Arabidopsis thaliana: one gene and its partner. The protein of the gene in region 1 interacts with the protein of each later gene in a pairwise test. Each region holds a gene or a part of one and is shown in the gene's direction. Other genes may lie near its edges. The genes, in order: AT3G62870 and NAP1;1.

Region 1 (3,922 bases):
GTCGAACAGTTTCCGCGCATCATCGATCAACCCAGCTTTGGCATAAGCATTGACCACAGAGTTCCAGGCCGGTAAATCCTTCGAGCCCGAGTCATCGAAAACTCGCTGAGCTGATCTCAAGTCGCCACAGGAAGAATACATGTTGAGCAGTGAAGTTCGGACAAATGGGTCTTTGTCAAGTCCAAAAAGAAGAATCTGAGCATGAGTTCGTTGCCCAAGAGGAAGATGAAGCGGATTGTGGAAAGAAGGGAGAAGAAACGGAAAGGTATGAAAATCGGGAGAGACGCGATGGTTGCGCATACGGAGGTAGACTGAGATCGGAGAATGTCGTTGAGGCGACGAAACATTGTGAACAATGGCACGAATGATGATGTTCCACAAGAAAGATTCAAGCTTTAGATGTCGAATATGAAAGATGGGATTTGCATAAGCTATTATTGCCGCCCCCTTGCTCATTGTCTCAATCTAACAAGTGTATCAGAAATCGATTTTAAATATCAAGTACGGTTTTGACAAAACCGAATTGAACCGGTATTTAAATGAATATTTGGTTTCTTAATCAATGTACGGACGGAGAGGTAACAAAACAAAAGGGTTTTGTCCTAATTCAATTTTGCAGAGATGGAGGAAGAATTGCTCTCCGCCGTGCCGTGCTCTTCCCTAACCGTCGAGTCAGTTCTCCGTGTCGCGACGGTAATCACTAGTATCCAATTGAAATTCATGTTTGTGTTAGTGTGTGTATAGATAGATGTCTGAGATTTTTGTTGAAGCTCAGGCCGGTGGATTATATGGGTTATGCGCCGGACCTCGTGACGCTCGTAAAATAGGTATTGAAATTAGCTTTGATTTAGAGAGTTTTTACACTTTTCAATTCATTAATCTGTGCTTTGTTGCTGATTTGCTTCGCCAGGTTTAAGCGGCGTTTCTCAGGCTTCCTTTGTGGCGAAATCCATTGGCAGATTCGGATTTCAATGCGGTAATTTGCTTCCTCTATTGTTTTTCCACCCAAATTAATCTTCAATGACTATGGAATTTGGGTATAAATCTGTAATTTTGGACTTAAGATAATTCTCTTCTTTGTCACTAGAAGAAGAATGCTGCATATACTTTTTTTTTGTTTTGAAAGATCATAATTCTCTGTTTTGCTTGCCATGTAATAATATATAATGCAGATTTCTTTTAGTTGTAATTTTTTTTGGATTAGTTGCTCTGCTCTTCTTTAACTTAGATCTAAATTCTTCAAGTAGTGATTGCTTCTTTAGATTTTGGTATATGCATCAAGAATTCATTTTTGTTTCAGGTCTTGTAAGTGGTGTGTTTACTATGACACATTGTGGGCTTCAACGATATCGAGGCAAGAATGATTGGGTGAATGCTTTGGTAGGAGGAGCTGTGGCGGGAGCAGCTGTTGCCATTAGCACAAGAAACTGGACACAGGTTGTTGGCATGGCTGGCCTCGTCTCTGCTTTTAGTGTTTTGGCTAATTGCACCAGGACAGAAAACCCAAACAACACTAATTAAGGTGATATTTAGAACACTGAATTTTGCTAATAATGCGAGTGTCTGTCGCAGCCACATTCACCGGATATTGAAACTATCTTATAAGCTTGCAGGTCTTTGACAAGTCCATTCAAGAAACTGTATGGAATTGGAACTTGAAGATCAATACACTGACTCTCCGGTTCGATCCTATTTAGTTGGCTGAACCCGTGGATGGTTCTTCTTTTCTATAGACCACACTTTTGGTCTTGTCTCTCTGTAGTCATCATGTACACACAAAGTCCCTCGAACCCGAAACCGTATTTGCATCAATGCTTATTACTGTATAATGTTATTTACAAGATAGAGATAGTCATAGAAAAATTAAAACATCAAAACTGATTTTTAATAAAGTGTATGTTAATAGCCATGCTGTTTCTTAGGAAAGCCAGTTTATTCACGAATCCACCATTTTTCTACTTCAAAATTTATAAATGTATTTCACTCTTTTTGATATGATTCTTTTTGTTCTATATGCTTTTTTGAATACTAAAAGCTATCAGATCGTTCGTTGTGTAATTTTTTTCTATAAAAAATATCGTTGATTTAATAAAAAAATATAGAAAGTAAGATATAAAGATCATGAATATATAATTTTCTTGACGAAAAATTATTTTCTTGATATTCAGAAAATCTATATTGAGAGAGCAATACGTGTCCAAAAACGTAATTTTCTCATCTGGGCTTCTGAGGAAAAAAAATATTTGTATCATTTGGGCTTCAGTGTCTTTATAAATAGTGAAAACACAAAACCCTAAGAGTCGCTCTTGCTCTCAGCCGTCTGTCTTACCTCCAGAAGTCGACGACAACAATGGTACGCCGCTTTTACACCATTTTGCAGCTTTCATTGCCACTTTCGTTTGTTTAGGATCTGTATTAGCTCTTTGTTTCCTCGAATTTGAGCTTCTTTCGTCAAATCTATATTGGAATCTGGCTTATACTTATGTCCCTGAGGATTCTGGCTTTGTTTGATTTCGTAGTTTGTATAGTGAATGCATCGATGCTATGGTGATATGTGACTCTTGTTTCTGATGCTTATCGCCGTTTGTTGTTGATTCATAGGCACCGAAGAAGGGAGTTAAAGTGGCTTCAAAGAAGAAGCCGGTATGCTCTCTTAGCTTTTCCTTTAAGCATTGTTTGTTTTTCTCTGAGTATTATTATTAGTCTTGGTGGAGTTTCTCATTAGATTTGTTGTTGTGTGTATTTTAGGAGAAAGTTACCAACCCATTGTTTGAGAGACGCCCAAAGCAATTCGGTATTGGTGGCGCTTTGCCTCCTAAGAAGGATCTTTCTCGTTACATCAAATGGCCTAAGTCAATCCGTCTTCAAAGGCAGAAGCGTATCCTTAAGCAGAGGTTGAAGGTTCCTCCAGCTCTTAACCAGTTCACCAAGACCCTTGATAAGAATCTCGGTTAGTCTCTTTTTCTTATGGTTATTCAGAAATCTATATGTTTGTATGATCAGTTGCTTAATGTGTGTCATGTAATTGCAGCCACCAGCCTCTTCAAGATTCTTCTGAAGTATAGGCCAGAGGACAAAGCCGCAAAGAAGGAACGCCTTTTGAACAAGGCTCAAGCTGAGGCAGAAGGAAAGCCTGCTGAATCCAAGAAGCCCATTGTTGTTAAGTATGGTCTCAACCATGTGACTTACCTCATCGAGCAGAACAAGGCACAGCTTGTGGTCATTGCACACGATGTTGACCCTATCGAGTTGGTGGTCTGGTTACCTGCACTCTGCAGGAAAATGGAAGTCCCTTACTGCATTGTTAAGGGAAAATCTCGTCTTGGAGCGGTAAATAATTCACCACTCCATGGATGTAAACTTCCATTAAGAGTTTTTCTTACTTTAATGTTTTCACCCTAATTTATGTTCATTTCCTGCTTCTACTCTCCAGGTCGTTCACCAGAAGACTGCTGCTGCCTTGTGCTTGACCACTGTCAAGAACGAGGACAAGCTTGAGTTCAGCAAAATCCTCGAGGCCATCAAGGTAATTAGCTGAATCAGCTTTTGACAATGGAATAGTTTTGAAATGATACTCTCATGTAGTCTTCAAACCATACTCTTAACGTGTTTTTTTGTTGGTGTGAATAGGCTAACTTCAACGACAAGTACGAGGAGTACAGGAAGAAGTGGGGAGGTGGCATAATGGGATCCAAGTCTCAAGCCAAGACCAAAGCTAAGGAGAGGGTTATTGCTAAGGAGGCTGCCCAGAGAATGAACTAGGCATCATACCTTATGTTCTCTGCTATGAAACATATGATAATGGTTTTGTTGTTTAGCGATATTTTGAAACCTTGTTTTATTTTAATTTCTATGCTCTTTCGGATGTTACCACCCTCTTCAGAATTTTATGCAGTTTTGTTATCAATTTCACATATAAACT
Region 2 (3,922 bases), on another chromosome or scaffold:
TTCCATAAATAACCACGAAACCCCTTGTACAATCTTAACAACCCAGACGCAGATTCAAATAGAGCGAAAGGGACCCCAAAAACAATCCTGACTAGAATCAGCCGCACCAGCAATCCAGAAAAACAACCCAGAGATCACGAACAATGAGATTACGGATTTTTCGCCGACTAAATCAAAACCCAGTAATCATCTTCTTCGTGCTCTCGATCTGGTGAAAAAACTCCATATGAACAGAATGTCGTTTTCTGGGATGCTTCTCTCTCTCTCTCTCCTCTCAAGAATTGAATACGAAGATAAAAAAAAAAAAAAAAAAAAAGAGCTTCGATGGACAGAAAACGATGAGGATGTCTTTCTCAAAGTTTGCGTCTTTTTTTTTTTCCTCTTTCCTTGCAGTTGCGGGTAATGTAAAAAAATTATTTACCTCTGAATGATTCCGGTTTTGTTGCTGTGTGCTATGTTCGGTTTGGTTTCTATGCTTCGGTTCAACCAAACAATCTAATGATTATGGCAAGCAGAATAGTAAAATAGAAAAAATGTGTAAAACATCTATAGAACACATATGTATATACATGCTGAGCATCTTTAAATCCACAAAAATACTACTATTTGAGCCGAATCTACCAACTAAACTAAACCTGGTTTTAAAATTATCCGGTTTATTTGAGAGTTTCAACAACAAGCGCGCTTAGACCATCATTATTCATAGTTTATAAGGTTAGTTCTTAGATAAAGTAGGTCTTAAATTTAATGTTATAATTCAATTAATTGTTAAAAATGACTCTTATATAAGAGCCAAATCTAATGTTTCTTAGGTTAATTCTTAGATAAATTAGGTATTAAATATAATGTTTTAATTCAATTAATCTTAATTCTTAGATAAATTAAGTATTAAATCTAATTGTTTGTCATATTTGTTTAAAATTTTATGTTATGTATGTTTCAAATTTTTTGAGTTGTAATAATTATTAAGTTTTTTAAAATTATAATGTTTCTACTTTTTTTCCAATTTTTTTTTTAAGAACTCAAGTTAAGAGTCCACCATTGCATATTGCCAAAATTTCAATCTCTTAACTAAATTCTTAACTTCAAAATTTTCAAAATCAATTATAAAAATATTCATAAGAACTATTAAGATTATGCTAAGAAACTACTATTAATGATACTCTTATGATGGCTATATGATATAAAAAGATTGACCACTTACCAGGTGTGTTTGCTACGCGTGACTTGAAAGCTCTACAAAATGTTTCTCTTAAGTGGGAGTCGTGGAGGTACAAAAAGCTTTTCACCTTTGCTTTTAATAGGATGAATGAAATGATTTACAGTTATCTGATTAGGTTGAATTTGTCTCATGGTTTTCTGGTTAAAAAAAAATGCTACGCGTGAGGCTTCTTTATTGTGTTTCTGGTCAGACGTATAAAAGGTTGAAACTTCAAATTGAAAATGTCGTGATGAGCTAATCTAGATTAGAGTACGTTTAATTCGTTTGAACTCGGGATGAGCTTAAACCAAACTAAAGATCTTTGTGCCTTTTGGGATATGACTTTTTGTTGTGGACTGTTTTTTTGTTTTTGTTGTGGACTGTTTTTTGTTTTTAATTAGTATGTACAGTGTATGTGAACAAAAGAAGTAATCAGTGTATTGGGCTTGGAAGGCTCATTCTTGGGATGGGCCTTAGTACTAACAGATTCAGAAATCTTCTATTTGATCCCATTAAAGTTCACTAACCTGTACTGTATTTGGTGAAGAATCAAATATATATAAGTGTATATATATATATATAAGTATATAGATAATTAATATAATTACATGCAAAATTTTAATTATATAGATAATTAAAGTTTATATATTAGTTATATATATTTATAATTGATTGAATTCATAAATAAACTTTAATTATCTATATATAAGTCAGTTCTCATTATCCATATATATATGTATGTAAAGTTTTGCATGTTATTTAATTCAATAAACTTAATTTTGCTTTTTAAAACATTAAACATCAATTTTTAGAGAAAGAAAAGTATATATAAAAAGAGAAAAAACTAAAATGGCATTTGTTATAATTTTGGTGTGAAAAGGAGGGAGAGAAAAAAACAAAAAAACAAAGAGGATTTAAGGGTTACGAGTCGCCTCCCCAAAACCCTTGTCCCTAGTCTCTTCTGCTTCTTCTTCTTCAAAATCTCTCTCTTCACCAAATCCTCAGAAGATGAGCAACGACAAGGATAGCTTCAACGTCTCCGATCTTACTGCTGGTAAAATACTCCTACTCACGATTACTCTTATCTCTTTCTCCGCCTCTTAAGCCAGAGCTGCTTTAACCCTAATTTCCTCTGTTATCTGACTGGTGTTCCTTTTGTTTACTGTTTTTTTGCAGCTCTTAAGGACGAGGATCGAGCTGGCCTTGTCAATGCTCTAAAGGTGAGTTTTTTTCCCCTTCTGTAAACTGTCCCGTGAGCATTTGCTATTGAAAGATATGGAGGATGTTGAGTTACTTTCCTCTGATTGTTTAGATACTATAAGCCGTGTCTTGGTGTTTAGTGTTTTGGTTTCAATGTCATTCTTCTAGTACAATGATAGTTTATGAGTTGTTAATACATTGTTATTAATTCACAGAACAAGCTGCAGAATCTGGCTGGTCAGCGTTCTGATGTGCTCGAGAATCTGACTCCCAATGTGAGAAAGCGCGTTGATGCCTTGAGGGATATACAGGTTAGCGAAATTTCTTTCACATTTTACCAAACTATGTGTGCTATATATCGTTTAATGGGGTTTGTTTTGTTTTGTGTGAGTTTTCTCCCTGCTTATCTGAATTTAAAGTTTCAAAAGTAAGGTGTTGCGTTTTGATTACTGATGACTTCTTTCCACGCAGAGCCAACATGATGAACTAGAGGCAAAATTCCGTGAGGAGAGAGCTATTCTTGAAGCCAAGTATCAAACGCTGTATCAGCCTTTGTATGTCAAGGTAATTGTTAATGAGAAAGTTTTACAAACCATTTTACTAAACTCAATGTAGATCTGTGTATACTCTTTTTGCTTATGTTTACTTATCTGCAGCAGTGTTAGTTTTCTATGTGCATCTTAATGAATTCTACTTGGTATCTTGTAATGGCACAGCGTTATGAGATTGTGAATGGCACTACTGAAGTTGAACTGGCTCCAGAGGATGATACCAAGGTGGACCAAGGAGAGGAGAAAACTGCAGAAGGTAACTTCATGAGCACTATGTCTTCTTTGTTTGTTGTTAATCTTTTTGGAAAGACAAAAACAATTTAACATTTTTCTCTGTTTTTCATTGCAGAGAAAGGAGTTCCAAGTTTCTGGCTGACAGCTCTGAAAAATAACGATGTTATTTCCGAGGAGGTAGCCTATATGCAGTTTTGGTGTTCGTTTTATAAACACTCCAATCATAACCATGGAATATGAGCATAACTTATTGTCATTTATGTCAGGTCACAGAGCGTGATGAAGGGGCTCTCAAATATCTTAAAGATATTAAGTGGTGCAAGATTGAAGAGCCTAAAGGATTCAAACTTGAGTTTTTCTTTGACACGAATCCGTATTTTAAGAACACTGTCTTGACAAAGTCTTATCATATGATTGATGAAGATGAGCCACTGCTTGAGAAGGCTATGGGGTAACTACTTATACTCTCTTGCAATTGTTGTATACTTTTAAGTATATTCTGCTTATTAGCTGATTGCATTGAGCTGCTTATTTTTTTTCTTCGCTTATATTGCAAATGGATTCTTATTCTTTCACCATTCATTTTCAGGACAGAAATTGATTGGTATCCTGGAAAGTGTCTAACTCAGAAGATTCTCAAGAAGAAGCCTAAGAAAGGTTCAAAGAATACTAAACCAATCACCAAACTCGAAGATTGTGAAAGCTTCTTCAACTTCTTTAGTCCTCCAGAAGTTCC

Evidence for each region.
Region 2: the proteins of AT3G62870 (region 1) and NAP1;1 interact in binary tests that used the Arabidopsis thaliana proteins (3 or more experiments, as listed by UniProt).

Annotation. Positions count from the first base shown.
Region 1 is NC_003074.8:23,242,702-23,246,623, reverse strand, and holds the start of AT3G62870 (Ribosomal protein L7Ae/L30e/S12e/Gadd45 family protein), read left to right. Parts: upstream 1-2,226; 5' UTR 2,227-2,350; coding exon 2,351-2,353; intron 2,354-2,601; coding exon 2,602-2,643; intron 2,644-2,748; coding exon 2,749-2,950; intron 2,951-3,031; coding exon 3,032-3,330; intron 3,331-3,433; coding exon 3,434-3,526; intron 3,527-3,630; coding exon 3,631-3,762; 3' UTR 3,763-3,922. Other genes in the region: AT3G62890 (Pentatricopeptide repeat (PPR) superfamily protein), read right to left, coding at 1-456; ATOEP16-4 (Mitochondrial import inner membrane translocase subunit Tim17/Tim22/Tim23 family protein), read left to right, coding at 622-693, 776-827, 911-976, 1,301-1,521.
Region 2 is NC_003075.7:13,230,503-13,234,424, forward strand, and holds the start of NAP1;1 (nucleosome assembly protein1;1), read left to right. Parts: upstream 1-2,065; 5' UTR 2,066-2,209; coding exon 2,210-2,255; intron 2,256-2,377; coding exon 2,378-2,421; intron 2,422-2,616; coding exon 2,617-2,712; intron 2,713-2,872; coding exon 2,873-2,965; intron 2,966-3,117; coding exon 3,118-3,208; intron 3,209-3,301; coding exon 3,302-3,363; intron 3,364-3,452; coding exon 3,453-3,637; intron 3,638-3,775; coding exon 3,776-3,922. Other genes in the region: CK1 (casein kinase 1), read right to left, coding at 1-6. UniProt on the Arabidopsis thaliana protein: May modulate chromatin structure by regulation of nucleosome assembly/disassembly. Contributes to the regulation of cell proliferation and cell expansion. May function in nucleotide excision repair (NER). Involved in somatic homologous recombination.